Linked DNA regions of Oryctolagus cuniculus. The protein of the gene in region 1 interacts with the protein of each later gene in a pairwise test. Links are inferred from orthologs where the notes say so. Each region holds a gene or a part of one and is shown on either strand. Other genes may lie near its edges.

The links.
Region 2: the proteins of cone-rod homeobox protein (region 1) and QRICH1 interact in binary tests that used the Homo sapiens proteins (3 or more experiments, as listed by UniProt). The two-hybrid records come from large-scale screens. The link is inferred for Oryctolagus cuniculus from reciprocal best matches to the Homo sapiens genes CRX and QRICH1.
Region 3: the proteins of cone-rod homeobox protein (region 1) and CCNC interact in binary tests that used the Homo sapiens proteins (3 or more experiments, as listed by UniProt). The two-hybrid records come from large-scale screens. The link is inferred for Oryctolagus cuniculus from reciprocal best matches to the Homo sapiens genes CRX and CCNC.
Region 4: the proteins of cone-rod homeobox protein (region 1) and GCM2 interact in binary tests that used the Homo sapiens proteins (3 or more experiments, as listed by UniProt). The link is inferred for Oryctolagus cuniculus from reciprocal best matches to the Homo sapiens genes CRX and GCM2.
Region 5: the proteins of cone-rod homeobox protein (region 1) and PPP1R16B interact in binary tests that used the Homo sapiens proteins (3 or more experiments, as listed by UniProt). The two-hybrid records come from large-scale screens. The link is inferred for Oryctolagus cuniculus from reciprocal best matches to the Homo sapiens genes CRX and PPP1R16B.
Region 6: the proteins of cone-rod homeobox protein (region 1) and M1AP interact in binary tests that used the Homo sapiens proteins (3 or more experiments, as listed by UniProt). The two-hybrid records come from large-scale screens. The link is inferred for Oryctolagus cuniculus from reciprocal best matches to the Homo sapiens genes CRX and M1AP.
Region 7: the proteins of cone-rod homeobox protein (region 1) and LONRF1 interact in binary tests that used the Homo sapiens proteins (3 or more experiments, as listed by UniProt). The two-hybrid records come from large-scale screens. The link is inferred for Oryctolagus cuniculus from reciprocal best matches to the Homo sapiens genes CRX and LONRF1.

The regions. Positions count from the first base shown.
Region 1 is NC_091449.1:9,969,778-9,974,225, forward strand, and holds the start of cone-rod homeobox protein, read right to left. Parts: upstream 2,936-4,448; 5' UTR 2,736-2,935; intron 2,481-2,735; 5' UTR 2,409-2,480; intron 1-2,408. UniProt on the Homo sapiens protein: Transcription factor that binds and transactivates the sequence 5'-TAATC[CA]-3' which is found upstream of several photoreceptor-specific genes, including the opsin genes.
Region 2 is NC_091441.1:100,095,184-100,099,084, reverse strand, and holds part of QRICH1 (transcriptional regulator QRICH1), read right to left. Parts: intron 3,077-3,901; coding exon 2,045-3,076; intron 1-2,044. UniProt on the Homo sapiens protein: Transcriptional regulator that acts as a mediator of the integrated stress response (ISR) through transcriptional control of protein homeostasis under conditions of ER stress.
Region 3 is NC_091436.1:72,164,277-72,168,177, reverse strand, and holds part of CCNC (cyclin-C), read right to left. Parts: intron 2,982-3,901; coding exon 2,897-2,981; intron 2,745-2,896; coding exon 2,675-2,744; intron 1-2,674. UniProt on the Homo sapiens protein: Component of the Mediator complex, a coactivator involved in regulated gene transcription of nearly all RNA polymerase II-dependent genes.
Region 4 is NC_091436.1:159,772,491-159,776,862, reverse strand, and holds the start of GCM2 (chorion-specific transcription factor GCMb), read right to left. Parts: upstream 3,034-4,372; coding exon 2,944-3,033; intron 752-2,943; coding exon 499-751; intron 398-498; coding exon 285-397; intron 1-284. UniProt on the Homo sapiens protein: Transcription factor that binds specific sequences on gene promoters and activate their transcription. Through the regulation of gene transcription, may play a role in parathyroid gland development.
Region 5 is NC_091442.1:19,948,885-19,952,785, forward strand, and holds part of PPP1R16B (protein phosphatase 1 regulatory inhibitor subunit 16B), read right to left. Parts: intron 836-3,901; coding exon 710-835; intron 164-709; coding exon 88-163; intron 1-87. UniProt on the Homo sapiens protein: Regulator of protein phosphatase 1 (PP1) that acts as a positive regulator of pulmonary endothelial cell (EC) barrier function. Involved in the regulation of the PI3K/AKT signaling pathway, angiogenesis and endothelial cell proliferation.
Region 6 is NC_091433.1:128,320,544-128,325,186, reverse strand, and holds the start of M1AP (meiosis 1 arrest protein), read right to left. Parts: upstream 3,151-4,643; 5' UTR 2,786-3,150; intron 1-2,785. UniProt on the Homo sapiens protein: Required for meiosis I progression during spermatogenesis.
Region 7 is NC_091433.1:77,989,022-77,993,721, forward strand, and holds the start of LONRF1 (LON peptidase N-terminal domain and RING finger protein 1), read left to right. Parts: upstream 1-1,620; 5' UTR 1,621-1,727; coding exon 1,728-2,460; intron 2,461-4,700.

The DNA.
Region 1 (4,448 bases):
TCATGAACTGGGGAGAAAATAAAATGGGGTGATGCGACGGTCCCAGTGTTGGGGGACAAAGATGAAACCCCCAACTGGGTCAGTCCTGGACGGAGAGGATCCCAGCAGTAGGGACAGCAGGTGCAACGGCCCGGAAGCTGGAATCACTTGGTCCAGTGTGACCAGAACCAATCACAGGGCAGAGAGGAAAGATCTAGGAGGAGCTGCGGGGGCGTCCTGGGGTAGAAACGCATAGAAACAAACCAGCAGCAGAGAGCAGTCCACCCTGATGGCCACACCCTGCGGGGACCCCTGTGGGTCGGCAGGGGCTGCAGTACCTAACCAAGAATGCTGGGGACCTGGCAGAGGGCAGCCCCCAGGGAAAGCGGAGCTGGCTGCCGCCTTAGGAGGAGGCTCAAGCAGCCAAGTGGGAGATCTATGCCTGCTGCCCACCGCCTTGCAAGCTTGCAACACTTTGTTACCTTTCGTAGCAATTCAAACAGCCCCAGGAAACTGGCATTCCAGCCTCCCCCTGACCTCCAAGCAGGAAGTACCTTGTCACACAGCCCTGGGAGGCAGGGACCCCATCGCACTCCAAAAGTTGTGCTCAGGCCCAGCGAGGCCCTCTGGGGACCCCGGATTCCACCCCTGCCTTCTCAGCCCCTCCATCCGCCTCCCCTCTGCTGTCTCCCACTTTGCAGAGGAGAAGTGTTTGCTATGAACCCCAAGAGAGCATGGGAAGAGGGAGACTCGGGAGGACCCCGCAGTGGGGCAGGAGGACCCTGCTGGTGTCCCCAAAAGCCTGGACTTCCCATGAGGACAAGCCCATCCTACAGGCAGGATCCCAGGGGAGGAAGGCGCGTGCCCAGGGCCAAGCAGCAGCATGTGGGAACCCAGGGTTGATCTGTTCGCTAGGCGTGGATGAAGCCACGAAGACGGGATGTGACAACAAATGACAAGCAAGAAATGAACTCGGAAGGGCCTCCCTGGAACCTCCTGAGAGGAGTGGGCGGCAACACGAGCACCCCAGGAATTGTCAGCCAGGATCTCAAGCGGCTGATTCCGGCTGTGTCTGGGAACTGACCATGGTCCTGACAGCGCCCCCTGCCCCGCTGCATTTCAAGGCCCCAGGGCTGGTGGGAGGGACGGCAGCACCGGCCAGGGGCCCCGCGTCCACCTGAGCGCTCACCCCCACCTCCTGGGCAGGCCTGCAGTGACCCCATTCTGCATGGAGGGGTCTCTGAGCCTGCTGGGGAGGAGGATGCCCACCCTAGTCCAGGCATTGGATAACAATAAGGACGTCCCAGCGTTCCCAGCTATTCAGTCCCTGCAGCACGGCCTTGGGAACAAGACATCGGGGGACAAGAACCTGGGGGAGGAACTGCCTACGAGGCTGCTCCTGGCATCAGCCCCAGTATACAGAGGGGCAAATTGAGGCTGGTCCCATGACACACACAGGCCAGCAGCTGGGCCAGCGCCCCCTGAGCCTATACCCACCTTGCTCTCCCCCAGTCCCCCAGAGCCCAGGGGTCCCAAGGCCACATGGGTGGTAAGTGGCAGAAGCAGAGAGAGAACCCAAGTCTCTCAGGACCCATCGTTGTCCCCCAAACCTACCTGGGGTCCCAGGAAGCAGGATGAGGCCACCCCGCCCCTCCCCTGGCCTGTGACCCCAGCCTCCCTCAGCTCCTCCGTCACCAGCCCCACCTTGCAAAGGAGGAGACCGGAGCCCAGGGAGGCCACACCCAAAGGGCTCCATGCCCACCCTTGGCAAGGGGCCCCAGCTCGGCTGTGTGCCCCCCCATACGATCTCTGCAGCCCCCGAGGGCTCCTCTGTCCTGGGTCCCCAGGGAGCAGGAGAGACCAGGAGCTGGAACCTCGGAGGGGATGTGGCACGGCCGGAGCCGTTAGGCGTGGCAAGGTCCCCAAGTAATGAGGTCACCAGCCTCATGGCTCCCAAAGCATCCCGGCCCCTCGGGCAGTCCCCCCAGGGTCCCCACTTAGCAGAGCCCGAGAGCCCGGCCCCGCGTGCACGCGTCGCTTCCTTTCTGTCTTTCCCTGTCCATCCATTCACACCCTGGCAAATCCCCCACCACACAGCAGGCACTGGGAAGAAATCAGGGGTCAGAGAGAGAGAGAGAGTGGGAGAGGCAGATGCCCAGAGAAGAAAGTTCCAGGCAGCAGTGAGACTTCTCAGGAACACCCCGCAGGGGTGCAGAGGGGCTGTCTGGGAAGGACGGCCAGAAGCCCTCACCCCTGCACCCTCCATCCAGGGCCCCTGCGTGTGCCCAGGGCCAGTCCCCGCCCTCTGCTGTGTACCTGCCCAGTCCGCCACCCCACAGACCCAGCCAGCCGGGAACAAGGGGAACTCGGCCCCGGCCCCAACCCCGGCCCCCGCCGCAGTGCCCTCTGCCTCTCCTGCACTCGCTCACCTTCCGAAGGCAGGGACCGACCTGGCTGCCCTGGTGGCCCAGGTCCCGCACACGGCACAGGAGTCACCCAGGCTGCAGAGGCAGAAGGAAACAGGTCCCCACCCGCCGGGTGATTTTAAGCCCCGGAGCCGGGAGTGATGTCACACGCTGTGGCCTGGATCCCGGGGGGGTAATCCCTGCCGCCGAGCTGGGGCACCCACTGGGCACCGGGAGGTGACATTGGCTAGGAGGGGGAGGGGCACCCATCTGCCTAAGTCCCCTCGCCCCTCCCCCGACATCTTGGCAATTAGGGCTAATGGAGATGTGGGGGGACAGTCCTGCACCTGCCTGTGACCAGAGCCTCCACCCCTCGGGAAGTCCTTGCTTGGGTCTGACTGGTGCCCGTCCGGCTTTAGCTTTGTCACAGAGGGACGCAGCAAAGATGGACAGAAACACAGGGCGCTCCTGAGAGATTGTGGGGAGGAGGAGGGGCCCAGGGCTCTCAGCACCCACTCCTGGGTGCCCCCGTGCCTCCCCAGCCGCCCATCTCCCCATTGCCACACTGTCCTCTGCTTTCTGCCTCAGTTTCCCTCTTATGCTTTCCTTGCCTTGGCCTCACGCTGGTCCCTGACCTCCGCGTCCTCGCTCTCCCGCCCACGCTCCCGTTCTCGCTCGATTTGTGTGGGGCCTCTGTGCCTCAGTGTCTCTTCCTTCGGGCCCCAGGCTGTGCCTTGTGTGCTGATTGGCCCGTGCACCCCTCGCTCTCCCCCCACCCTCCTCTGTCTTTATGGGCCCACTTCCAGGACCCACTTGCTCGAGTGCTCGGGCACTCTCTATGCTGGTATGTGTGTGTGTGTCTGTCTGTCTGTCTCTCCCCACACACACCCTCCGCCGCCCTCCCTCCCCTCCCCAGCTGTCTCTCCCTCGGCCTCAAGGACCCGCCCTCATTTTGCTGGATCCCTGCCTGTCCCCCTCTGCCTGGGGCTCCAGCCTGGTCTCAGCCCCTCTGCCCTCGGCCGGGCAGACCTGTGTCCCCCACATCCAACCCTGAACCTGCCCCTCTCTTCCTCCCTGCCTCTGCCTCCCTCACTCCCCAGGCCCCTCCCTCTGTGTCCTCCCTGGGGTTGGGGGGGGGCCTCTTGCTGACTCGCTCCCTCCCGGGTTCCTTGCCTGGTCTCCCTCTGCACTGTCTCACTCTCTGTCTCTGGATGTTAACATCTCCCTGGGCTCTTGTCCCCACGTGGGTCTGCTCTACTTTCCCCAGACCTCCAAACAGGCATAGAAACACACACACACACGCAAACACAAACCCACATGGAACACACACAGGCAAACACAAACCCACATACAAAGACACTCAGGCATGCATGCAGGCACACATGAGCACACACACAGGAATCCCTCCTCTGGCGGCCACTGTACCTCACCATAAGGAGCCCTATCTCCACCCCCCCTTCTTCCATGCCCCCTGCTGGGAGAGATTAAGGCCAGCTGGGGAATCAGGGCAGGTCTCATTAGCCTGAAGAGCCAGGGTGACAGACAGAGAGGGAGGGGCCCCTGGCCCTCAGGGACCAGTCAGGACGTCCTGATGGGAGAAGCCCATCCCAGGACAGACCCTGCTGCCCCCCTCCGCCACGGCCCCCAGAGCAGGGGAGGGGGTGGCTCTGCAGGAGATGGAGACAGGACAGATGGGCCCATGGAGGAGGGGACTGAGCTGTCAGTCAGCTCCCGCTGGCAAGCTGCCAATCAGCAGTGCTGCTAGAGTGGGTTGGAGAAGTGGGCTCAGGAGGCCCCGTGCCCTGGCCCCAAGGGGGTCAGTCCAGGGAAGCTGGAGCAGAGTGCTTTCTTCCTGGACCACACCAAGGCTCCCTTTCTTCACCCCACATCCAGTCCACCCACAGGCCCTGTCTTCTTTCAAATGCTTGTCCGTGGCACAGTGGTTAAGACACCCACATCCCACAGTGCAGTGCCTGAGTTTGGTTCCCACCTCTGGCTCCAGACTCCAGCACCCTGCCAATGCCCACCCTGGGAGGTGGCAGGCGAGGGCTCCAGTCACTGGGT
Region 2 (3,901 bases), on another chromosome or scaffold:
TGGCCCAAGTGCTTCAGCATCATTGGCTGCTTTCCCAGGAGCACTAGCAGAGAGCTGAATCAGAAACAGCAGCCAGGACTCGAACCAGTGCCCGTATAAGATGCTGGTGTTGGCCGGCGCCGCGGCTCACCAGGCTAATCCTCCGCCTAGCGGCGCCGGCACACCGGGTTCTAGTCCCGGTCGGGGCGCCGGATTCTGTCCCGGTTGCCCCTCTTCCAGGCCAGCCCTCTGCTGTGGCCCGGGAGTGCAGTGGAGGATGGCCCAGGTGCTTGGGCCCTGCACCCCATGGGAGACCAGGAGAAGCACCTGGCTCCTGGCTCCTGCCATCGGATCAGCGCGGTGCGCCGGCCGCATCGCGCCGGCCGCGGCGGCCATTGGAGGGTGAACCAACGGCAAAGGAAGACCTTTCTCTCTGTCTCTCTCTCTCTCACTGTCCACTCTGCCTGTCAAAAAAAAAAAAAAAAAAAAAAAGATGCTGGTGTTGCAGGCGGCAGCTTAACCCACTATGCTACTACACAGCCCCTACTCCATGCTTTTTGTTATTACTTTATTTCTTTGAGAAGTAGAGTTACAGAGAGAGGGAGATAGAAAGGTCTTCCATCCACCAGTTCACTTCCCAAATGGCTGCAAAGTCTGGACTGAGCCAATCCAAAGACAGGAGCTTCTTCCAGGTCTCCCATGTGGGTGAAGGGACCCAAGCACTTGGGCCATCCTCTACTGCTTTCCCAGGCCATAGCAGAGAGCTGGATCAGAGGAGGAGTAGCCAGGACTAGAACTGGTGCCCATATGGGATGCCAGCACCGCAGGCAGAGGCTTAACCTACTATTCCAGAGCGCCAACCCCTACTCCATGCTTCTCATTCAGCTTCCTGTTATAGTGTCTGGAAAGTAGCAAGTGATGGCCCAAGTATTTAGGTCTTTACCACCCACATGGGATATAAGGATAGAATTCCTGACTCCTAGTCCTTGGCTGTAGTGGGATTTGAGGAATGAACTAGCAGATAAAAGGTATGTCTTTCAGTCCCTCCCTCCTTATCACTCTGCCTTTCAAATAAATCCTAAAAAAAAAAAAAAAAAAAAAAAAAAAAAAAAGAGGGGCTGGTGTCATGATGCAGTAAAGATAAGCCACACCAGCATCCTGTATCAAAACTGCAAGTTCTAATCCTGGATATTTTGCTTAAAATCTAGCTTCCTGCTAATGCGTCTGTGAGGGCGGTGAATGTGGGCCCAAGTGCTTGGACCACTGCCACCCACATGGAAGACTAGAGCAGCATTCCTGTCTCCTGGTTTCTGCCTGACCCAGACCCAGCTGTTGGGGCCAGGTGGTAAGTGAACCAGTGGATGGAAGATCTGTCTCTGTAGCTCTGCCTTTCAAATAAATTTAAAAAAAAAGCCAACACAATCCTAACAACTTTTCTATAAAACTAAAATCATTCCAAAATAAATGTCAAAAAAGGTTTGTCAGCATAGCTGCCATGTCAAAAAGCCCCACAATCAAGGGTTAACTTATGTTCAAAGATGACAGAAACATTCTGGAAGGTCTCTGTGCATAGGTACCTTACGCAACACTCCTGAAGGTGGTCACTTGTAACACACCCACTAGTAAGTACATTAGGTCTTCTAATTCACCTAAATTGATTCCAAAGACGACAAGTAGAGAAGGAACGACCTCAGCCCTTCTACTGTAGTGAATTTACAGTTTGTGTGCTCCGTAAGTCATTCACATATGATGCAAGAGAGTAGATTCTAGGACACCACTAACATTCAGGGTGCCCACCTGTAAGTTTACTCTTAAGACAAGATTACACAGTACCTGAGGCACTTAACCCCAAAGCCTCAAAGCAGTTACTGGTCATTTCATTTACTTCCAGGATCAAATTCTTACCAATTATACTACCTCATTTGCTACTTCTCCCAAATACTGAGTAGTGTTTCACTGTAAGATTAACATCATGGCAGTAAACAAGGCAGAGGTTGCCATGCAAACTCTCTGCTGTTCTGGGCCCTGAGGGAGCAGGCAGCCCTACAGGTAAAGTCTCACTTACTGAACAAGTAACCTGGAGCTGCTGCTGCTGCTGTTGCGGTGGCGGAGTCTGTTCCTGGGGAGTTTGCTGTTGTGGTTGCTGCTGTGGGTCCCATATATGGACAGTCTGAGCCGTATTCTGGTACGTGCCTGCCACAGCCTGCACAGCCACTGGAATGTGGATGTTGCCATTCATGAACTGTGCTGGAAAGAGAGAGTTTGCAAGGGTCTGCACTACCTCTTCATGGGAGTTTTTCACTACAGACGTGGTGCCCACCATCTTCTCCTTGTCATCCTCCAGCTTTACAGCTGCCAGGGCCGTGGGTGAGCCACTGACGTGAACTGCGTTGTAGGCTTCTTGGGGAATGGCAATGTGGGTAATGCTCTGTTGTTGAGGGTCCCCCCGGGGCTGGGCAGAATAAACAGGGATGGTCCAGGTTTCTCCTGTAGGGCTAGTAATGGTCCCAGTAGCACTGTACAAGTGGGCACTGTCTACTGTCAGTAAGTCTGGCCTCAAAGACACATAACTCTGCTGCTGGCCCTGTGGAATGGCCAGCACGGTGGCCACCGGCTGCCCTGAGATGGCGTAGGACACAGTGATGGGCATGTCCACTTTGCGCTTCTTCACTGGCTGGAGGACACTGGCCGTGCCAACCCGCCGCTCCCCTTCCCGGGGTGAGCCCTGCTGGGATGATGGTGGGGAAAGGGCACCCACAGTCTGGATTTGGATCTGCTGACCCCCAGCAAGAGACTGGCCAGCCACCAGCTGAGCCTGGATTTGCTGATGTGGGATGTGCTCTTCCGGGATTTCTGCAGCCTGGATCTGCTGGGCCGCCTGCACGTGCTGCACCTGGATCTGGGCCGCTTGCAGCTGCGAGGGACTGGGGCTCTGCAGAGACGGGGTCTGGATGGAGGGGGCTGCTGACTGCGGTGCCTGGCCCTGGATCTGCACCTGGACCTGGACGGGCTGCTCGGCAGGCTGATGAACGGTGAGCTGTGGGGAGAGTTGCTGAGCCAGGACCTGCTGCGGAGACTGCTGTACCTGCACCTGTACCTGTAGCGACAAGATTTACCAATGAGTGAGACAGGCAACATAGAGAAACCAGCCCTCCCAGGGGAAAAAGATTTCAGGTGGAGTCCCTGTGTAATCTGAGGAAGGGCTACCATACCCAAGCTTCTGAGGAAGCCATAATTCCCAAAATAATATGCAAAATTCTACAACATAACACTGACACATATCCAATCCAGAGAGTAAAAAAAGAAATACAGGGGCTTGGGCCAGCACCGTGGCTTAGCAGGGCAAGCACTCGCCTGTGGCACCAGCATCCCATATGTGCAATGGTCCAAGTCTTGGCGGCTCTAATTCTTATCCAGCTCTCTGCTGATGGCCTAAGAAAGCTGTAGAAGATGGCCTAACTACCTGGGCCACTGTACCCATGGGTGGCTTTGGATTGGCACAGCTCTAGCCTTTGCGGCCATTTGGGGATTCAACCAGCAGATGAAGACCTCTCTGTAACTCTGCCTCTCAAATAAATAAATAAATCTTAAAAGAAAAAAAAAAAAAGACAAAGAAATACTGGATGACTCTCTGTCTCTCCCTCTCAAATAAATAAAACCTAAAAAAAAAAAAAAAAAAAAAGGCGCCAGCGCCGCGGCTCACTAGGCTAATCCTCCACCTAGCGGCACCAGCACACCACGTTCTAGTCCCAGTCAGGGCGCCAGATTCTTTCCCGGTTGCCCCTCTTCCAGGCCACCTCTCTGCTGTGGCCCGGCAAGGCAGTGGAGGATGGCCCAAGTGCTTGGGCCCTGCACCCCATGGGAGACCAGGAGAAGCACCTGGCTCCTGCCTTCAGATCAGCGTGGTGCGCCGGCTGTAGCG
Region 3 (3,901 bases), on another chromosome or scaffold:
TAAACCAGCAGATGGAAGATCTCTCTGTCTCTGTCTGCCCCTCTTCCCTTGTAACTCTGCCTTTCAAATAAGATAAATCTTTAAAAAAAATTAAATAAAAGGGGCTTGTGCTGTGGCGCAGCAGGTTAAAGCCCAGGCCTGAAGCGCCAGCATCTCATATGGGCGTCAGTTCTAGTCCCGGTTGTTCCTCTTCTGATCCAGCTATCTGCTATGGCCTGGGAAAGCAGTAGAAGATGGCCCAAGTCCTTGGGCCCCTGCACCCACATGGGAGATCCAGAAGAAACTCCTGGCTTCGGGCTCCTGCCTTCGGATTGGCTCAGCTCCAGCCATTGAGGCTATCTGGGGAATGAACCAGCAGATGCAAGACCTCTCTGTCTCTACCTCTCTCCGTGACTCTGTCTTTCAAATAAATAAGTAAGATAAATCTCTCAAAAAAATTCAATAATGAAAAAAACAACAAAATATCTAAATTAATCTATAAAGCTTATAGATGTTTAATAAGGTTTTGTTGGTATCAACAAATTGGTATCAAATACTGGTTGTGCTTGATATATAAAAATAGCCGTTACATGGCAATATTTGTAAAAAATAGACCCATATTAAAATTGTTTTATAAACATTTTCTTTTCCATTAAAGAACTTAACAGGGGCCAGCACTGTGGCATAGTAAATTAAGCCTCTGCCTGCATCCCTGCATCCCATATGGGTGCTGGTTCAAGTCCCAGCTGTTGCACTTCCAATCCAGCTCCCTGCTGATGGCCTGGGAAAGCAGTGGAAGACAGTCCAAGCACCAGGGCCCCTGCACCCAGGTGGGAGACCTAGAGGAAGTTCCTGGTTCCTGGCTTCAGATTGGCCCAGCTCTTGCTATTGCAGCCATTTGGAGAGCAAACCAAGGCATGGTATAACTGTCTATAATTCTGCCTCTCAAATAAATAAATAAATCTTTAAAAAAAAAAAGAACTTAACAAAGTCAGTTCTGCCTCCTTAAACTACCTCTAAAATTGAAAAATATTAAATCACTAAAACGTTTTCCTTAGTATTCTTTCTAATAGGGTCAATTCTCATTCTTGAGATAATAGTTGGGAGAAATGTCAGTGATAATCCTAAACAATAGCTAAAACAAAGCTAAATCAAAATGAGTACCAAAAAAAAAAATAACAATAGGCTAAAATAATATTCAGATGGGTTGGCGTTGTGGCAAGTTAAGCTACCACCTGCAACACTGGCATCCCACATTGGAATGCCAGTTTGTATACTGGCTGTTCCACTTCCAATCTAATTACCTGCTAATGTGACTGGGAAAGCAGTGGAAGATGGCCCAAGTGCTTGAGTCCCTGCCATCCATGTGGGAGACCCAGATGGAATTCCTGGCTCCTGACTTAGGTCTGACCCAACCTAGATCTTTTCAGCCACTTAGGGACTAAACCATCAGTTGGATGGCCCCGCTCTCTCACCTTGTCACTGCCTTTCAAATAATAAATCTTAAAAAAAAACCATAATATTCAAGAATATCATTACTATTATAAAGATATCTAAAAACAGAAACACAGTACAAAGGCTTTGTAATACTGAAGACTGATGAATTGGGGGCTGGAACTGTGGCATAGTGGGTAAAGCTGCCGCCTGCAGTGCCAGCATCCCATATGGACGTCGGTTCAAGATCCAGCTGCTCCACTTCCTATCCAGTTCTCTGCTATGGCCTAGGAAAGCAGCAGAAGATGGCCCAAGTCCTTGGGCCCCTGCACCCACATGGGAGGCCCAGAAGAAGCTCTTGGTTCATGGCTTCAGATCAGTGCAGCTCCGCCCATTGTGGCTATCTGAAGAGTGAACCAGCGGATGGAAGACCTCTCTCTCTCTGGTTACTCTTTCAAATAAATATATAAAAATCTTAAAAAAAAAAAAAAAACCTGAATGGATTAAAAAAACAGTTGATATCTGCTACTACTGTCTGGATTTTTGCAGAAAAGATAAATAGGGTAAGCAAAAATTCAGTCTCAGCTCTAAGTGCCTATGTTTCTTCTCTCCCTCACCTGAATTTTCTATTTCATCTGATTTTTATTTGATAGAATCTGTATAGCTGTAGCCTCTCCTAATCATTGCCATTCCTTTGTTTTCCTGATGGCTTGGTAGGCAGCCAATCACCACAAGGAAAGGAGGGAAGACAGTAGCAATAAGCATATGCGAAGGAGAGACACTCTTAGGTTATAGGAAACAAGCTAGGGCATTTATTGAATTCTACTTGTACAAAACAATTAAAAATCTTAAAGGCTGCAGAAAAAAAAAATAAGAAAATAGGAGTAGGAACTAGACTCTCACAGTTCAAAATACTAGCTCTGCGACTTACCAGTTGTACAAATACAGGCAAGTTCTTAATCTCTTTGTGCCTCAGTTCCTTCATTTATAAAGTAGGAACTCTACTATCACATATTCCATTTTTTATGAGGATTAAGTCAGTTAATACTTGTAAAAAGATTTACAAAAGCACTTGGTACTCTGTTAAGAGCCATATAAGCCCTTAAAAAATAAATACACAAATTTATGTATGTATTTCTTTGATTTTTGTGTCATTTTTGTATTTTGCTTAAATTATCATCTACTACTATCTTTAAATAAGTAATGTGACAACTGGGGCAGATTAACCAATATTGATGAAAATCAGAAAATTGTTTTATACCTCTACTTTGGATGCCAAAAACACACATGTAGGAGCCATTAATACAGGATCTATACTTTTCAGAGAATACCTAAAAATATCATAAAACAAAGTTAAGTGTCACTCATTGAAAAACACACTAAAGAAAAAATATCAAGTTAACTCTACCGCACACACGATTCATCAACATTAAATAAGAGTTTTTAAGACATCTAGTATATTCCCAAAATAAAACAGTCCTACCTGGCATAGAATCTCTTGAAATAGACCGTAGCAGTGGCAATAACTTGTTGTCTTAATTTAAGATGCTCACCTAATGCTTGGATAACTAAAAGGGAAATAGTAAAATTTTAAGTATATCTTCTGGTATCATTATTAATCTTGAACATGACTATACTCATTTTTAACAAAGGGAAAAAACCTACACATGCTATAAAGCTCCATTTGGCTCTCAGTGGTTTAGTGCAAGGATTTGCAAATTTATACAAAAATACATATATAAGCATAATGAACAAAAAGAGAGGAAAAGAAATTGCCCAAAACAAAATATATTCTTATATTAAGGAGACTGAATGATAGATACTTCCCTTCTATCTTGTAAATATTTTAATGCTTTTCATATTATCTTTACAATAAATATAAAAAGAAAATGTTCAATAAACTATAAAACTCATTCTAGCTACTACTTTATACAATTTATCAAAAAAAAAAAAAAAACCCATAATGAATCCTCAAAACAGTGAGGTAGGTTTACAGAAAAGTGAACTGAGACAAAGATCATGAGACAAAGCTATAGCACCTGTCAGTGTAAAGGTCTTTCAACTCCAAATCCCCTTTCCTACAAAGCTAGTTCTAAGATAGGAGAGACCACTATATAATATTCAACTAAAGAATTATTTACTCTCCAAGTACTTTGCTTTAGCCAAGCTTAAACTGAGTTTGATAACGAATGATAGGGAGTGGGCCTATGCAAAGTTAAGACACCGCTTGGGATGCCCACATGCCTGATTCAGGTCCCAGCTCCTCACTTCTAATTTAGTTTCATGCTGATGAAGCACCCTGGGCAGCAGTAGATGATGGATTGAGTACATAGCTTCCTGCCACCCACATAGGAGATCTGGACTGAGTTGTGAGCTCCAGGTTTCAGCCTGGCCTAGACCTGGTTGTTGCATGCATCTGGGGAGTGAACCAACAGATGAAAGATCTGTCTGCCTGTCTGCATCTCTCAAATAAAAATGAAAATAAAAT
Region 4 (4,372 bases), on another chromosome or scaffold:
AGTTAATCATGCCTTCCCAAGATCCCAAGTTGTCTTTTTCCTAAATGATAGGAAAAAGAATTCTCGAATAAAATGGCATCAATAGTAGACATTTTTAAAGATTACCTGCACTCCCTTCAACCTATTAAATGAGCTATAACTATACCTTGGTCCACCACAGCCCTAAAGAAACACACAGCTTATTAACTACTGCCTAGCAGGTCCCTGGGGAGATCCAACACCCATTTCTGGCCACCGGAGCTACACTCCATGCCCATCACGAATTATAGTCTCACCTCACCTACCTGAAAAAATATGGCGCTGCCGTCAAGCCGCCAGAAATTGGTTACAGGGTACCCGCTGTGCCCTCGACAAGGAATCAGCTCCAAAGGCGAATGACAGTTGGGGCACGCCTTCTCTGCAAACCCCGGAGGGAGAGAGATTAGACCCTGGGCTCTGCGGGAAGATGGGGGAGAGGACCCACGACTCCCAGGCCGCCCCGCCCCGCCGCGCCCTCACTCTGCTGTTTCAGCCGCGCCTTGTCGCAGATGGCCGGTCGCAGCTGCAGCCGGGAGCCGTCGGGCAGGACGCAGCCGTGCGCGCACACCACCACGCCCAGGCACGACTTCTTGAGGATGTGGCCGTTGTGGTTGTTGGTGTTGCGCATGGCCCAGCCGCTCTGGTGGCGCTGCGCCTTCTTCTCGTCGCTGCTGTAGATGAAGCGCACGTAGCCGTCGGGCCACTCGCGGAAGTGGTCGAAGTGGGCTGGCTCCTGTGAAGACAGGTGCTGAACTCGGCCGGGCTCCAAGCACACGCACCGCCCTTTTCTCCAAGCCCATTAGAAGAAGAACAGGTTATTGTTCAATCCAAAAAATGTTGCAAAACACCAAACCATACCACCACAAAATGCTGCTCTTCCTGGCCTTTGGGACAAATGGCTAGTCACTGGTGAGTATACACTGCCTGTCTCCTAAACGCTACACTGTATTAATTCATCTAGCCTTTACCACATGTGCAGGCAGGAAGTACTACTCTGCCCATTTTACCCACTAGAACATGGACATCAGAGGGGTCAGTTGGCGTGGCCAAGGTCACACAGCTCACAAGACCCAGCTCTAGGATTTGTACCCCGGCACTTGGACTCCACAGCCTATGTTTCTTACCAGTTCTTGGTTTGTTTAAATGCGATTTTCAAGTGGAGTGTGAAAGTGCCAGGGTAAAAAAGGGACTGCAATTCTCTATCATGGGGATGAACTTTATCCTTGGAAAAATCTGTATTACAGCCCAGTGTGTTTTTTTTCCCAAAAGCTCTTGATGCCCTATGCCAAACCAAATGGACTTTAACATAATCAGCAATGTCTGCAGAACATCAGAGAAGCAAAGACAGCTTTCCTCTAGACTGCCAGCTTAGCATAAATTAATATACTGATTTAAGGTTAAGTCCCAAGTGATGTATTCATGCTGCTAACTCCATGTTTTTATTAAACGCGAGTATCTCTGAACATTCAACTTTAGCATCTTAGTAATAAACCAGCCACTGAGAGTATACCCTGAGTTCTGTCCTGACGGTACAGACTGAACCCCCCCTGACGGTACAGACTGAGCCCCAGAGTTCACCCAGCTACGGGGCCAGGGACACGGCAGGTGAAGACACAGAGGAGGTTATTTGAAAATCAAAACATCAGCAAAGGATTGCAGGATTGGGTTTCATTCGCTCTGACATGCTTGTATGTGTAGAGATACACACAAAGAGAACAGGACTGTAGGGCCAAGGCAGAGCTGAGATGGTTATCTAGTTCCTCCACCTGATGACAGGTCCATCTCTGAGACTAAGGCAAACTCAAGGACTCTCTCAAGGTCAGGGAGCCTGTTTAGCTTCTCCTTTGGTTAGGCAGAGCAGTGCTAGCTTGCTACGTTTCCTCTATTTTCTTTCACTATTCCAATGAGTCTGTTGCATTTGAGATGTTACACACATTCCCTACTGAAGAACCCATCTCCCAAGCAAAAGAAAATCCTTGAGAGATGAGCCATTGTTGCATATTTGGAGGTGACTCTCACCTAAAATACAAGTTCAGAATGTTTTCCATGAGGATTTATGTGGACAGAAGTCAGCAAGAACGAGACACACGTGTGGACTGTGGTCCACTTGTGCACAGATGCACAGTGCAGCACTGAAGTAGGTAGACTTTGAAACAAACTACAAAGTGCACGTCCAAAGACATGTTGCATTCCAATGAAATGCTGTTCTTCTGAACACCCATCTGGCACATAATAGAAGATAAATAAATGCTATGTCTCTTGACCCTGTGCCACCATGTTGCTGCAGGTCTACCTTCACAAATGTGTGGGGAAGCAACTCCCATGGTCCCCTCACCTGCAACCAGGACTTTTTGACTTGAACCAGCATCACCAAGGGTACTGCTCAGTTCCCAGTTCATTCTCTCTATTCCCACCCATTAAAACAAAAAATTCACCCTAAAAGAATGACTATGCTGATGGCCCCATGAGTGTAACTGTGGAGTTTCCTTCATCCAGGCAGTAGAGAATGGCTGAATAAATTGTTTCAGATTCAAGTCGCCTCCATTTACAGCCTTCTTTCACAGTTTGAATGCGAGAGAAGCAGTGGTATTTACATTGTTGAGATTCTTCCCTCAATTTCTACTGGATTTCAAATAAGTGGAGGAGCAGAGAGGCATTTGATTTCTCTCTTGGGTAAAGGAAAGTGAGGGAGTCTACTGTCTCCTGATGGCCTTTTCCTGCTGCCTTCGCTGTGTTTTGAGACAAGCGCACAAGGAAATCGCGGGGAGAAGACACAGCCCCAAACCCAGATCTATCTTTTGTAGAGAATACAGAAATTCCCTCTGCGTGTGAGGGCGCTCAGAAATGGGGGGGGGGGGGTCTGCTCACAGGGTCTCTGCCATTTCCCCTTCTCTGGATGGACCGCGCCACGCGTGCCGCTCTCACCTTGGGCATGTGCGGATCATTGATGTCCCAGGTGAGCTTCATCCCATGGGAGCACACAGGGTCCGCGTTCTGCCCGGCGTCCACCGGCATCGGTGCGCTTCGCCCGCGCTCTCCGCGCGGGATCCTGAAAGAGAAGAGAGGAGAGGGGCGCACGGCGGCTTTTCTCTCTTTAAAAGGAAAGGTGTGTGTGTGTGTGTGTGTGTGTGTGTGTGTGTGTGTGTGTGTGTGAGAGAGAGAGAGAGAGAGAGAGAGAGAGAGAGAGAGAGAGAGAGAGAGAGAGAGAGAGATAAAAATCCAGAAGCTGCGCGCTGTAGCTCGGGAGCCAGGCAGAGCCCTGTCCCCGGCTGCGGTGCTGAAGGCACTCGCCCGACCCCAGCATCCCGCACGTTTATAATCGCTCAGGTGCAGCCGCTCCGCCTTTCCTCGCCCCCCTCTGTAAAGTCACCCCCTCTCCGACAGAGCCAGGAACCGAGACATCAACGTTGAGCCGAGCCGGGAAGCCAAGGGAACCTGACGCTAAGGCGCTGGGACGGGGGTGGGGTGGAAACGTCTCATTTAAGTTGCAAACCAGTTTACTTTGAAACTCGCCCAGGCTCCGTGTTTCGGAGAGGGGCTTAGATCTAGGACTTTGGTGTGGAGCTTTTCCAGCTAAGTCCTCCGGGAGCCAGCCCTGAATTCCGGGGCAGCGCGGGAACCCTGGTCCGGGTTTGGAGCTCTTGCGGTTGGTGTTGTGCGTGTCCCGGAGCCTCTGGACTTTCGAGGGGTCACTGGGCGTTCCGTGTGCTGACGAGCCTTGGCGCGCCCAGGCCACCAAGGGCTGCAGGGGGACCTGGCCGGCGGGAAGGGAGTCCGGATGGGGACCCCGAAGGAGGCGGGCGAGATGCGCCGGAGTTAGCTGGCCAGGGCCAGGAGCTGAGCTGGGCGGGCCAGGCGCCTGAGTCGCCAAGAACCTGCGGATCTCTCTGCTGCCTGGACATCCTTCAAGCTGCAGCTTTCGTAACTGCGGGGCCGACGTTGCCAACGCTCTCTAAACACAACTGTTTAAAAATACATACTTATCGATATTGTGGCAATCTCACGACGAAATCTCACTTATTCCATCACAGCCTTGTGAGGCCCCGGGGGCCTGGAGGACCCCTGGCGAGGACGATGTGGTTCCCAGGGCTAGGACCAAGCTGTCTTCACCTATGCGGTCGCCTCACCTACGCGCCCGCAACTGAAGCGACTAAAAGCGCTGCGCTTCCAGAATTTGCTCCCTGAGCTCTTGTCTTGCTGCCCACAGTTTCCAACCCTGGTCAAAGAGAGCCGAGCGTATCACTGTTAGAAGCTGTTCCGTACCAGCACGGCTCTAAGCCTGGAGACCCGCGCCCCGTGCGCAACACCGCGGGATTGGTTCTCCCTGTTGACGCAAGGCGGGAAAGCAGGTGCA
Region 5 (3,901 bases), on another chromosome or scaffold:
TCCAACCATATATTTATCCATTTATCACTCCACCCACCAAAAACTTGAAGAATGCCTACATGTGTGCTGGTGTTGTGCTGGACTTACCTATTGGCATCTCATCCATGGATGTCCTAGCACTGAGACTAGCCCCATGGGACACCAACAGCTCTGCCATCTGCATCTGAAACACAGGAAGACACCCACAGTCTCCCTGCCCAGGGCGAAGAAAGCCCAGGGTGTGGAGTATCCAAAGTGTCTCAGGACAAGACCCAGAAATGGTGGGGCAAAGTTGATTGCTGAGAAAGGCCTTGAAGGCTGGAGATATGGAGGAAATCCTAAAGGGTACCATGCACTTGGCAACTCCTCTAGCATTCTTGGGCCATGCCAAGGTGGGAGAGAAGAAGGAGCTGGCTGTGACTGTACGGCCGTCAAGTATCTGGGGAGGAACTGCATAAAGTGTAATCATATTTGGGAAACAAATAGAGAAACTGCTCAGAACAGAAATGCGGGGAACTTTCTAACTTGGCAAATTCAAGTCTCATCCTACAGGGACGCAGACTGTCTAATGCTTTTGCAAACTCTCTGGGCCTTATGTTCTTTTGAACCGACTGTGAACTCAAAGGACTTAGCGACAGCAGATTGACCCTGTGCTGGCCTCCCCATTCCCCAGCCCTGTGGGTGGGAACCCTGTGCTGGCCTCCCCCACGGCCCTGTCGGCAGGGACTACCTGTCCCCAGAAGGCAGCTGCGTGCAGGGGCTCCCAGCCATCCCAGTCCTTCACATCCACACGCACTCCATGGTCCAGGAGGAGCTCAGCTGCCCGCAGGTATCCGTTGGCTCCAGCGATGTGCAGCTGGAAGAGAGGGAAGAAGGAGCACTCCCTAGAGGGCTGGCCCCACATTTGGAAGTGGATTTCCACCCAGATCCTAGAGCTTCCTTGGGGCTGGCAGAATAGAATACAATGAGGTAGAAATACCAGCCACATAACTGAGGATTAAGTCTGAAATATGGATCTAGAGGAGGAAGCAGAGAGCTGAGCTCTTCTCCCCTGTGGCTGATTTTAGAGCCCATGTAGCTAAAGCAACAGCATTTATTGAGCTCTTACTGTGTACCAGGCCCTGCAGAAGGGGTCTCAGAGATCCACTTTGGTGGTTTTACATTTGATTTTTTTTTTTTTTTGACAGGCAGAGCTAGACAGTGAGAGAGAGAGAAAGAGAGAGAAAGGTCTTCCTTCCATTAGTTCACCCCCAAATGGCTGCTATGGCTGGCGCACTGTGCTGATCTGAAGCCAGGAGCCAGGTGCTTCCTCCTGGTCTCCCATGTGGGGGCAGTGCCCAAGCACTTGGGGGCCATCCTCCACTGACTTCCCGGGCCACAAGAGAGAGCTGGACTGGAAGAGGAGCAACCGGGACAGAATCTGGCGCCCCAACCGGGACTAGAACCTGGGGTGCGGCGCCACAGGCGGAGGATTAGCCAAGTGAGCTGCAGCGCCGGCCACACTTTGGTGGTTTTAAAGCACATGTGCAAATACTTCCTTTCAAAGATGGAGCCCGATTGCTCTCCCCTCAAATGCGGGTCTGACTTCTAACGAATGGGACATTACAAAGTGGCAGTATGTCATCTCTGAGGGTAGGGAATAGAAGGCATCTCTCTCTACCTCCTGCCATCCTGGACCAATCCAGCAGGAGGCAGTGACCATGGTGTGAGGACCCTCAAGCAGCCCCAAGGAGAGATACCAAGGAGGCAAGAAACAGAGGCCCGTGTCTATGGCCTGCACCAGCGCGTCAGCTGTGTGGGTGTGTGCCGCCTTGGAAGGGAGTCCTCCAGCTCCTATCAAGCCTTCAGATGAGACTTCAGCCCCAGCAAACACCTTGACTGCAGTCTCATGAGAGGGGCCAAACCAGAGCCACCCAGTTAAGCTATATGGTGGGGCAGTCTGTTAGGCAACAATAGATAATTAATACACCCAATTAGGAAAGCCCCACGTAGAGGTCCAACCCTTCTCCCTGACCCCACTCAAGGGCTCCAGTCACTGACAACTAACAGACCTTAGTTGTCCCACTTGTTCAATCGCCCAGAAAATGCGTAAGAGGATTTGCACCTGATGAGCACTCACTGCATGATGAACAGTCCAGGGAGCCCCAAGTAATGACAAGGTGCACCAAGAACACAAGCAGACAGAGGAGACAAGGCAAAGAAACCCACTGCCCAGCCAAGGTGGGAGGAGAACGCCAAGTGGGCTCAGGTCCAGGGAGGCAGAGTGGGCATAGCCTAGTAGTCAGATGCTCCCTCACTCACCCTGACAGAAGGGTGCTATCAGGTTCTAACCTTTTTATATACCAAAAATTGGCAGAGTAAATCTAGGGCATGGTGGGATACAGGCAGACATGAAAATTAGTCTGATTAGCTGATATATAAAAGTTGATGCTTGCTAGTTGTGACGAATGATACCTGGATGACCAGACGGACATCACAGATTGCAGAGCCTCAATACTTGGCTGGGAATAAAAAGGCATGAGGGGGTGCTGGTGCTGTGGTATAGCAGGTAAAGCCATCACCCGCAGTGCCTGCATCCCATATGGGTGCTGGTTGGAGTCCTGGCTGCTCTACTTCTGATCCAGCTCTCTGCTGTGGCCTGGGAAGGCAGTGGAGGATGGCCCAAGTGCTTGGGCCCCTGCACCCACATGGGATACCTGAAGAAGCTCCAGGCTGCTGGCTTCAGATTGGTTCAGCTCTGGCCATCATGGCCATTTGGGGAGTGAACTAGCAGATGGAAGACTCTCTCTCTCTCTCTCTCTCTCTCTCTCTCTCTCTCTCTCTGCCTCTCTGTAACTCTGTCCTTCAAATAAATAAATGGCATGAGTGGAACAGTGCTATTATTAACAATGGTGACCACGGCTGACATCCCGAGAGTTTAGACTCGGTACTAAGCACTCACACGCAGAATCTCACTGAACCTTCCCAGCAGCTCTCAGAGTAAGATACGGTGATCTCCAGTTTAAGGGGAAGACCTGAGACCCAGATGTGCCAGGTCCATGTGGGTGAGCCAGCCCCAGTGCAGGAGGAGAAGACCCCTGAGTCCAGGAAGCCCAATCACAGACCCAGTGGAGTTCCAGCCAAGGTGGGCCATGCCCTGGTGCAGGCTGGCCTTGACTTCAGATAGTGGCATTGAGTCTCACCATCCGAGACTATCCTTCAGTGCTGGGCTGAGCAGGTGATCCAAGCAGGGACTCAACTAACAGAAATGGGCATGAAGCAGAGGTTAGAGCCCAGTGATGAGAGAGAGAAGCTCAGTTATCACCCCTGGGCCACCAGCTCAGGACTGATGGGCAGTGAGGGGAATTTGCTAACACTGAGTTCTAGTTGGTGGGTTTGAGAACTCGGAACTTCTGAGGGCCCGTGACCAGCACAGAGCCCAAACTGTGGATAGCACCCAGCCGCTGGGAGGTGATTTCTCATGTCATGCTCTTGTCAGCTCAGCGGCTACAGAACCTGACCCTCCCCAGTGCTGGGCTGCAATATGCTATGAGGAGGAGCTAGCGAGCTCTCCCCAAGTCACTGACACTTGAGCTGCAAGGATGAATGGAGTTAATCAGGCAGACCTAGGAGAAGAGGGTCTACTATTCTCTTTCTAGGGTCTAGGGGAGTATGTAGCACAGAGGAAGTCCTCAAACTGTGTTGGTTGGTTGGTTGGTTGGTTGGATGGACGGACCAATGGGAGGATGGATGACTGAGGGTGAACAGACTGAAGTCAGGGAACCCAGGGAGAGGCCGTTGCAGCTCTATCAGGGAAAGCTGATGAAGCAAAGTGGTGGGGTGAGAGAGACGCTAGGCAGAAGAACGGATAGTGCAAGGCAAGGTGGCATGGATGAGAGGGTGAACGCTGTCACCAGTCTTTGCGAAGGGGCATCATTGGAGG
Region 6 (4,643 bases), on another chromosome or scaffold:
TGGGTAAAGTTGCCACCTGCAGAGCTGGCATCCCATATGGGTGCCGGTGGCTCCACTTCCTATTCAGCTCTCTGCTATGGCCTGCAAAAGCAGTAGAAGATGGCCCAAGTCCTTGGACCCCTGCACCTGCATGCAAGACCCGGAAGAAGCTCCAGGCACCTGGCTTCAGATCTGTCCAGCTCTGGCTATTGTAGCCATTTTGGGAGTGAACCAGAGGATGGAAGATCTCTCTCTCCACCTCTGCCTCTCTGTAACTCTGCTTTTCAAATAAACATATAAATCTTTAAAAAAAAAGGACAAAAAAGGACATTTTTCTAGAAAATCAATAATCCAAAGAGGGAATTGGCCAACAAAAATGGAAGTGAGGCAAAGAAAAAGTGATAATGCGGAAAGTAAAATCTGAGTAGAACATAAATGGAGTCATAGAAGCAACAGCTGACTGAGCATGCTGACACTGCCACCATTCGATAGATGCTTACTATGCAATTAGAGGGAATCAGTAAAGGCAAACATAAACAACATAAATGAGAAAAACAGTTGTGACAACAAGGATGAAGATGTTCCAGAAAAAATGTCATTTGCAAAAAACACTTTATTATTTAAAAAAAAAAGCTCTTGGAGATAGTTCACAAAATTGAAAGCACAAAGCATAAAATTTTGGAAACTGGTCCAAACTTGGAAAGTAGTATAACATTTCCTAGGCATGGAAAATATGCTTGCTCTATCATAAGTTATATCTTGGTGGGCGACACTGTGGCATAGGGGGTTAAGACACTGCCTACAGCGCTGGCATCCCAAATGGGTGCCAGTTCAAGTTCCAGCTGCTGCACTTCTGATTCAGTTCCCCTGCTAATGCACCTGGGAAAGCATCAGAAGATGGCCCAAATACTTGGGCCCTGCACCCACATAGGAGACCCAGAAGAACTCCTGGCTGCTGGCTTATCCTGGCCCAGTTCCATCTGTTGTGGCCATTTGGGGAGTGAACCAGCTGATGGAAGGTCTGTCTCTCCCTCTCTCTCTAATTCTACCTCTCAAAGAAATAAATAAAATCTTAAAAAAAAAAAAAACAACAACGTAGTTCTAGAAGTAAAACGCTTCAAACGCCAGTATTTCTAATGTTTTAAATACAGTAGCAGAAATACATATTAGTCTTACTGTTTTACATTTTCCTGTATACTTAAAACAATAAAGCCAGTGCTGTGGCACAGTGAGTTAAAGCCCTGGCCTGCAATGCCAGCATCCCCTGTGTAATGCTGGTTCGACTCCTGGTTGGTCCACTTCTGATCCAGCTCCTTGCTAATGCGCCTGGGAAAACAGAGGATAGCCTAAATCCTTGGGCCCCTGCATCTACATGGGAGACCAGAAATAAGCTCTTGGCTCCTGGCTTCAGATCTCAGATTGGTACAGCTCCAGTTGTTGCAGTCATTTGGGGAGTGAACCAGCAGATGGAAGACCTCTCTTTCTGTCTCTACTTCTCTCTGTGACTCTTGCAAACAAACAAATAAAAAAAAAAAAAAAGACCTTTCTCTCTGTCTCTCTCTCACTGTCTAACTGCCTGTCAAAAAAAAAAAAAAAAAAGTTAAAAACCAGCTTAATAAGAGAGCTCTTGGTGTTCTGGCAATAATTTTTAGGAGTCACAGAACAACTACAATTTTCACCACTGATTGTTAAGATCTCAGAACAGTTTTAGCTTGCATTTTCAAATCCCAAGCCAATGTCAACTGGAATACTGTCCTCTAAAAGCGGTGAGCAGCCACCCTCTTCCCTAGCTCCCCACACCTGGTCAGTTCATGCATCGCATGTGTGGGTCTGCCACTTAAACAGGAACCAGCTTTAGCACTGACTCTCCGTTTTTACTCACCCCCCTGCTTAACGGTAGCCCCTTGTAAACTGGTTAAACCTGGAACAGCCCTGAACCACCAAAGACCAATGACTTCCAATTACACCTGGAACAAAATCCAAACTCCTACCCTGGCCCCCGAGTTTGGCCTGTGTCCAACTCTCCGTCCCTGGGGTCAGGCCATTCCCTGACAAGCGCACCCCAAACAAGCTCTTGCTGTGACTCCCTCTGTTGGACGTTCTTTTCCCTACTGGCCCTCAGGGTCCCCGAGGCGCAAATTCGGGCCCCATTAGGCGTCCTCGTTAACAAGGAGGAGGAGCAAGGACTAGCGCTTACAGACCGAGGGTGCCTCGGCCTGCAATAAATGAGTCCCGCCGCTGGCAAGTCCCTTAAACATTTCGTAGTTCGCCTTCGCGGGCCCCTCCTTGCATTAAAAACATTATAATAAATTAATACACGTTTGTGGGTTCTAAAATTTTCATTTTTTTTCCTTATATGAGAAAAAATTAAAACATTTACTTCAACTTTCCGGGTTCACTGGTTTCCTCTGACTTCAAAGGAGATGAAATTATTTTACTGGGCACCCCCGCCCCCCGCCCCGCTCTGTCTCTTGGGCCCCGGCCTCGCGCCCACCGTGCCCGGAGTTTGCGAGGGCGCCCTCAGGCGCGGGGTGCGACGGGGGAGGCGGCCCAGCTCCTGGCTCTCAGGAACGTGTGCGGAGGGCTGACCCGACCCAAGCGTCCGGGGCTTGAGCCTCAGGGCGTCTGTCCCGCGGGGCCCCGACCTGCGCCACCGTCACCTGCCCGGGGAGGTCGGAAGCTCGCTCGGCCCGCGCCCAGCCTGCGAGGCGCTGCCGGCCGCTCGCTCCGGCTGCGCTCCCTCCCCGCCCGGAGGCGTGAGGAAACGCGGAGGAGCCCAGCTCCGAGAGGGCAGAGAGCCCATTACCTGGTCCTCCTGGCTCTCGGCGAGCACCGGCGCGGCCGAAGACGCCCCCCTCAGGCCCTCCGCGGCGGGGCAGGGCTGCTCTCGGCTGGCGCCGCGGGGCTGACGGCCGCCTCAGAGCTCAGGTCGGGCTGCGCCTCAGCGCCGGGACTCCCAAGTCCGCAGACGCCCTGCCAACAGTCCTGCGTAAGCCCCTGAGTAGAGTCTCACATCTCTGTTGCAAATTTTGCACTCAATCTGACGCTCCTTCCTCAGCTACCCTGCACTCCTCACAAGACATTCACCATTACCGAATGGTGGTGTTCTTGGTCTTAACTTTCTCCTGCATCACTCATTCACGCATTCAGCCTGCCGCCCTTTCACTCAGTAGACGTTTGTGGTTAGCGCACTATGTGCCAGGCCCTGTGCTAGGGTCGGGGTGCAGTGGGTACACGATGATCCCTACCGTTGCAGAACTTGGCGTTTAGCCCACTCCCAGTTCTTTAAAAACTCCTGCGTTCCAAGAGGGTTGGTTCGCCTCTACTCATTCTCATTTACTTGAGGTTAATTGATTCCCATAGTCCCTTTGACAAGCTCTAGAGGGGGATCAGAACGTCGTATTCGTATCAGCCGCTTGGTCGGGGTATTTAAGTCTATCTGGCTGCATAGAAATTCTCATCTGAGTTAGCCCACAGGAGAGGAAAGATAACATTGAGCGGCACACCAGAGCCGGACAAGCTGTTTCTTCCGTTCCCCTCTTTATTTATTCTTTGTCCCCTTCTGCGCTGGCGGAGTTGCAGGTTGCAGGTGGACTAGAGCAGTGCTGCTATGAGTGATTTAGGACCCTTTAGATGTTTCAGTAGGAAAAGTCGCCTGTGTGCTAGTCCCACTAAGCCATTTTGCTGCCTTCAACTGCTCCTCAGGATAAAAATGGAGCTATTTAACCAAACGGTGTTTTAAATTTGAGAGTTAGAGACACGCAGAGTTCTCTTTTGCTGGTTCACTCCTCAAATACCCACAATGGCTATGGCCGGGCTGGGCAAAAGCTGAGAACCAGGAGTTCAATCTATGCTTCCCATGTGGGTAGCAGGAGCCCAGATACTTGGAGCCATCATCACACTGCTGCCCAAGGTCTGCGCTAGCAGGAAGCCGGAGTCAGGATCTGGAGCCAAATATCAAACCCAGCTATTGCGGTATAAGGAGCAGGTGTCTTAACTGGTAGGCTAACTGTCCCAAATGTTCCTTTTTAAACACTGTAATCTGATGTCCAACAGAATTCCTTTGTACCAACGGAGAGGGTAACTTTTCAACTGCTCTTTTTTCCCCCCACATAGTCCAAATTAGTCTTCCTTTCTCTAATTTCCAGATTATTCTTTACACTGATTATCCTTTACAATTATACTTGTAAAAATATTTTCATCATATTATTTGGCTGAAAAACTGCTTATGTTTTCTTTTTGGTTACCAGGTCCATTATAACTAAACCCATCTACTTCAAACTCAAACTGAATGCTAGCCTAACTTGAGCTTCAAACTATACCACCTATTGCTTCTAGCTATAAGAGATTTTTTTTTTTTTTTAGATAGGCAGAGTGGACAGTGAGAGAGAGAGAGAGAGAGAGAGAGAGAGAAAGGTCTTCCTTTACCATTGGTTCACTCTCCAATGGCCGCTGCTGCCAGCGCACCAGGAGCCAGGTGCTTCTGGTCTCCCGTGCAGGTGCAGGGCCCAATGACTTGGGCCATCCTCCACTGCACTCCCGGGCCACAGCAGAGAGCTGGCCTGGAAGAGGGGCAACCGGGACAGAATCTGGCGCCCCGACTGGGACTAGAACCCGGTGTGCCGGCGCCGCAAGGTGGAGGATTAGCCTATTGAGCCGCGGTG
Region 7 (4,700 bases), on another chromosome or scaffold:
CTGTCTATTAGGGAATGAAACTCCAAAGGACAAATGATATTTTTCATGATTTTCTGAACCACACATTTTACTTTGAGGGGAAATCCCAGAATGGATTTAAACTAGTGTTGAAAAGACATCTGAGTGTTTATCAATTCGCTCAACTCACTGTATGATCACGATCACATTTATTAGCTGTTTACCACTGCACGTTTGGCAAGCTGCTGTTACGGACAAGAATGCATCCCGTAAGTCAAAGGGCACGTGCATAGGGATACTCAGTCTTTGGGATTTGTAGCTTCAAGCTGGTCTGTGGGCATGTGACTCAAGTCATCGTTCTGCTGGCTGAGAGGTCGCAATTCAGGGGGATTAGGATTGGATTTAAGTTCATGCCTGTGAATACACACCGAACAATTAGGCCACGGGGCTTGGATCCCACTACAACTTGCTGTAGGCGCAATGTAAATGAAAAGTGACCTTGTGTGTCTCTGCACCTTGTGTGTCTCAGTATTTTCTCGGTCAGCTTTTTGTTCATTCCCTTTTGGGGAATGAATCTATAACTATTATCAATACCATAACATAGCAGTTAAATCCTCTCTCTTCATTACTTGTGTGAATTCGGACAAGTAAACTTTTCTTTTCCAACCGTCTGCAAAGTAACTAAAAAGTTTTAAGTCTCTTCCAACATTAACAACCCAGAACCCTATATTCAAAACTATAAATATTTTCAATTGAGAGTTTTACACTCGCTGCTGTCAACTTCCAGGAAGTATAACCCATTACCTACAAGTGGGATCATTTCTTTTTGTTCTGTCTGTAAAGCTGCAGACCCAACTCGGGATGTAGGGAGAGAGTACCTGCCGTGGGCAAGGCATCTTTCCTTGGGGAATACAGACTTCCCCCAGCTGGAAGGGGGATACAGCCGGCACCCCAAGAACCCGCGAGCTAGGAAATGAGTTTTGAACTGGAAAGGCCGCGGCCACTTGGCACCAGAAAAAACTGGAGGGAGCTGCGGACTTTTGCGTTTGTGTCTAATGTAGACCGACGGTAGTCGAGTCACGAAGTCGTCAGACGGCACTTGTCGCGGGCCCGCCACCTCTGTAACCTGAGGCATACACCTAAGACGCCACCCTGCACCTGACGACCCGGACTCCGCGCAGGGCGAGGGCGCAGGTCCCCAGCCCGATGGGGCAGTGCGTCGGGGGAGCGCGGGCGGCGTGGGCCTCCGTCCCGCGAGGAGGGGGTCCACTCAGCACAGCAGCGCCCACCGAGCAGAGGCGAGGGAGGGGGCCGCTGCAGGCGGGGTCGTCGGCGGGGAGGCCAGCCCCGGGTGGGTGATAAAGGATCCTTCGGGCTTTGTTTAGTAACACGCCAGGCCCTGCTCTCCCGAGAAACCAATTAGATCCCCGCTGCGGGATCATCTGACCTGCGTCCCCCACCCGCAGGGGGCTCGGAAGGGGCGGGGCTAGGCGGGGCCGGGCCGGCGACTCCTCGGGAACGCGGCCGCGGGTGGTGCGGGGGAGTCCCGAGCGCTGGACCCGGACCTGGGCCCGCCCCTCGGCAGAGGCCCCGCCCCACGCAGGCCCCGCCCCCGGGGCTTCCCGGGCGCGCGCCGCCCCGCCGTGTCCGCGCGCCACGCCCCCCTGCTCGCGGGCCGCGTGCGGAGCCGCGCGCCCCGTAGGCTCTGGGACCGTGGCGGCGGGCGGCGGCGGCGGCGGCGGCGGCGGCGGAGCAGCCGTCCGCGGGCCATGTCTTCTCCGGCCGTGGCGAGGGGCTCTCCGGGAGGGAGTCGGGAGACGGCCCTCAGGCCCCGGAGCCGAGGCCGGTTTTGGGAAGTGGGCGGCGGCGGCGGCGGCGGCGGCGGCGGCGACCAGCTGGAGCGCGCGGCCGCGGAGTCGGAGCGCTGGGAGCTGCTGCTCCGCCGCGGCGAGCTGCTGGCGCTTGGCGGCCACCTGAAGGGAGCGCTGGAGGCGTACGCGGCGGCGCTGCGCCGGGGGGCCCCGGTCAGGCCCGAGTGCCTCGGCACCCTGGTGGACTGCCTGGTGTTCAACTACCGGCTCCGCCACGGGCTGGGCTGGAGCGCGGCCCCGGCTGCCGGCGCGGGTGCGGGCGGGCTGCTCAGCTGCCTGGGCTGCCGCGGCTTCCTCAGCGAGCCGGTGACGGTGCCCTGTGGCCATAGCTACTGCCGCCGCTGCCTGCGGAGAGAGCTCCGCGTCCGCTGCCGCCTCTGCCGGGACCGGCTGCCGCCCGCCGCCGTCGCCAGTGCCGCGGGTGCTGAGGGGACCGGCCCGCGGCCGCCGCCTCTGGCCGCCGCCATCGCGGCCTCGGACTTCAGAACCAGCGTCGTCCTCAACCACCTGGCCGAGAAGTGGTTCCCGGGTCAGCGCGAGCGAGCCCGGGCGGCCGGCCGGCTCGGGGAGCTGCTGCTTCAGGGGCGCTACCGGGAGGCCCTGGCCGCCGCCTGCGAGGCGCTGCGAGCAGGTGACGGCGCGGGGATGCGGCGCGGGCCCGACCGACCCCACCCTCCTTTCCCGGGCGGGCCGGGTACCCAGAGCGGGTCTGCGCCCTGGGGCAGGCTCGCCCTGCTTCCCCGGGGGCCGCTGGGCACTCGGCGTGCGGGATCTCGGGGTGCTCGAGGGTGTGGGAGGGGGCGGCGCCCGGGGTGCTTCGGTCACAATGGGGATCGCCCTGGGAGCCCACTGTGACGCGGCGCGGGGAGGGGCGCGCGGGCGCGGGGTTCCCTCGGCCGCGGCCTGGCGCTCGGGCGCGCGCGCGTGCGGCGCGGAGCTGCGGGCCCCCGGGCCGGAGGCCGCCCTGGCGCGGGATGGGTGGGAGCTGGGGGAGCCCGAGCGGCCGCCCGCTTCCTGCCGCGCTCTTTCCGGGAATTGGCGGCTCGGGCCCGGCAGGGCCGGGCCACCCCGGGGGTGGGAGACGACATCGCGGCGGGGCGGGGATCCCCAGCCGAGGTTGGGCGGGCTAGGTCTACCTTCCCGACCCGCAAAAGTCACCGGGGCAATTGGAAGCCGCGGGAGGGCAGAATTGCATAAGCTGGGGTGGAGGGGCGTTGTGTAACGGGTGACGTCCGGTGGGCGTGGCGGGAGCTCGGCGCCCGCACCCAGTGCCGCGAGGCCCCTCCGGCCGCGGTGGTCAGCTCCTACCTGGAAGTGCCCGCGGAGTGGGTGCATCTTGAGGCGTCCACCTGCTCTTCTCAGGTCACGCCGGTTTCATTGTGCTGACTCCGGAATACGCCCAGCCCAGGGCAGGGATGCAGAGGTAGTCTCTAACCCAGAGTTACCGCCTCGCTTCCGTTCGCCTTTCCACTTAAGATCGAGCCCAGGGGGAAAGGCCGTGTAGGGCTTTTGTCTCTTCCTTTGTCTCCAGGACGCACCCTCGGCTTCCCAACTTCAGTTAGCACTTTTCCCAAGGCGGTTTTACATTGTGCCAGACGCGCCTGTAAAACTTCCGTTAGAAAAAATGAAGTTCTTGGATCAGTTCTTTTACTAGGGGGGGGGTTTCACTACCCCCTCCCCAAGGACATTATCCAGGGCAACATATCTGGCAGTGTCTAGGGACATTTTTGGTCCCCACCTCTTGTAGGCGTGATGCTGGTCCCGGCACTGTGGGCACTGTGCGGCTGACCTGCCACCGCCAAGAATGCAGGCCCCAGACGACCATCAGTGGCACTGTGGGCGACACTTGTATGAAGTGGATTGCAAGATTTTCATGTCGCTGTGTTGGCAGGAAATAATGCTTGGGGGAAATAATCCCCAAGGAAATAGACATGAAATATTAAACTGACTTTGGGTGTTAGGTAAGTTTAGACACTGTGGAACTGAAAATACCCTCCTGTGGGTGCTTAGTCATATTGAACCAGTGACAGTGTCTTGAGTTATTTAGAACCTTCAGAGTTCACAGCACAAACTTGCCATGTTTTTGAGGCCTTTTAGTGTGTCTGTGGAGGAGGCAGTTGTAAAATATGGTAATAGTCTCAGAACAAAAGGAAAATAATTGGGTATTAAATTCTGATACACCTGACTGCCTCTTGTGGGCAAATAAGCCAGAATTGGCTGGATAGAACACCTATCACAGACCATGTGAGAAAGCAAGGGCTGGAGCAGTGCAGTGACTTGCCCCAGTCACACAGCTGGCTGCTTGGAGAGGCAGCTGTGTGTCCCTTTCTAAAGTGGGCCTTGTGTTCATCTGGTCTTTATAGGTCATCCACTCAAGTGCTCATGCACATTTCCCAGGAGGGTTTTCTATCACTAGTATAAAATAGAGGATAAAACTCACCAACAGCACTATTCAGTATCTACGCCTGACATGGTGATATGACATTCTTTTAAATTAGGTTCTTTATAAGCTTTGAGGTCCTATTCCTTGGAAGAATAGTGAACACATTACAGATTTAAGTCTAGCTTCATGTTCTGTGACTAATATTTTTTTGAAAGTTTATTTTGTTTATTTGAAATGCAGAGTGATAGAGACAGAGTGAGCCCTTCCATCCTCTGGTTCACTCCCTAAATGCCCTCAGCAGCTGGGGGCTGAAGTCAGGAGCCAAGAACTCTATCTGGCTCTCCTATCTGAGTGGCAGAAACCCAAGTACTTGGGCCATCAAATGCTGCTTCCTGAGTGTGTAAGCAGGAAGCTGGATGGGAAGCAGAGGTGGGATTTCATCCCCAGCATGCAGATACGGGATGCCAGCACCCCAAGCAGTGTCTTGC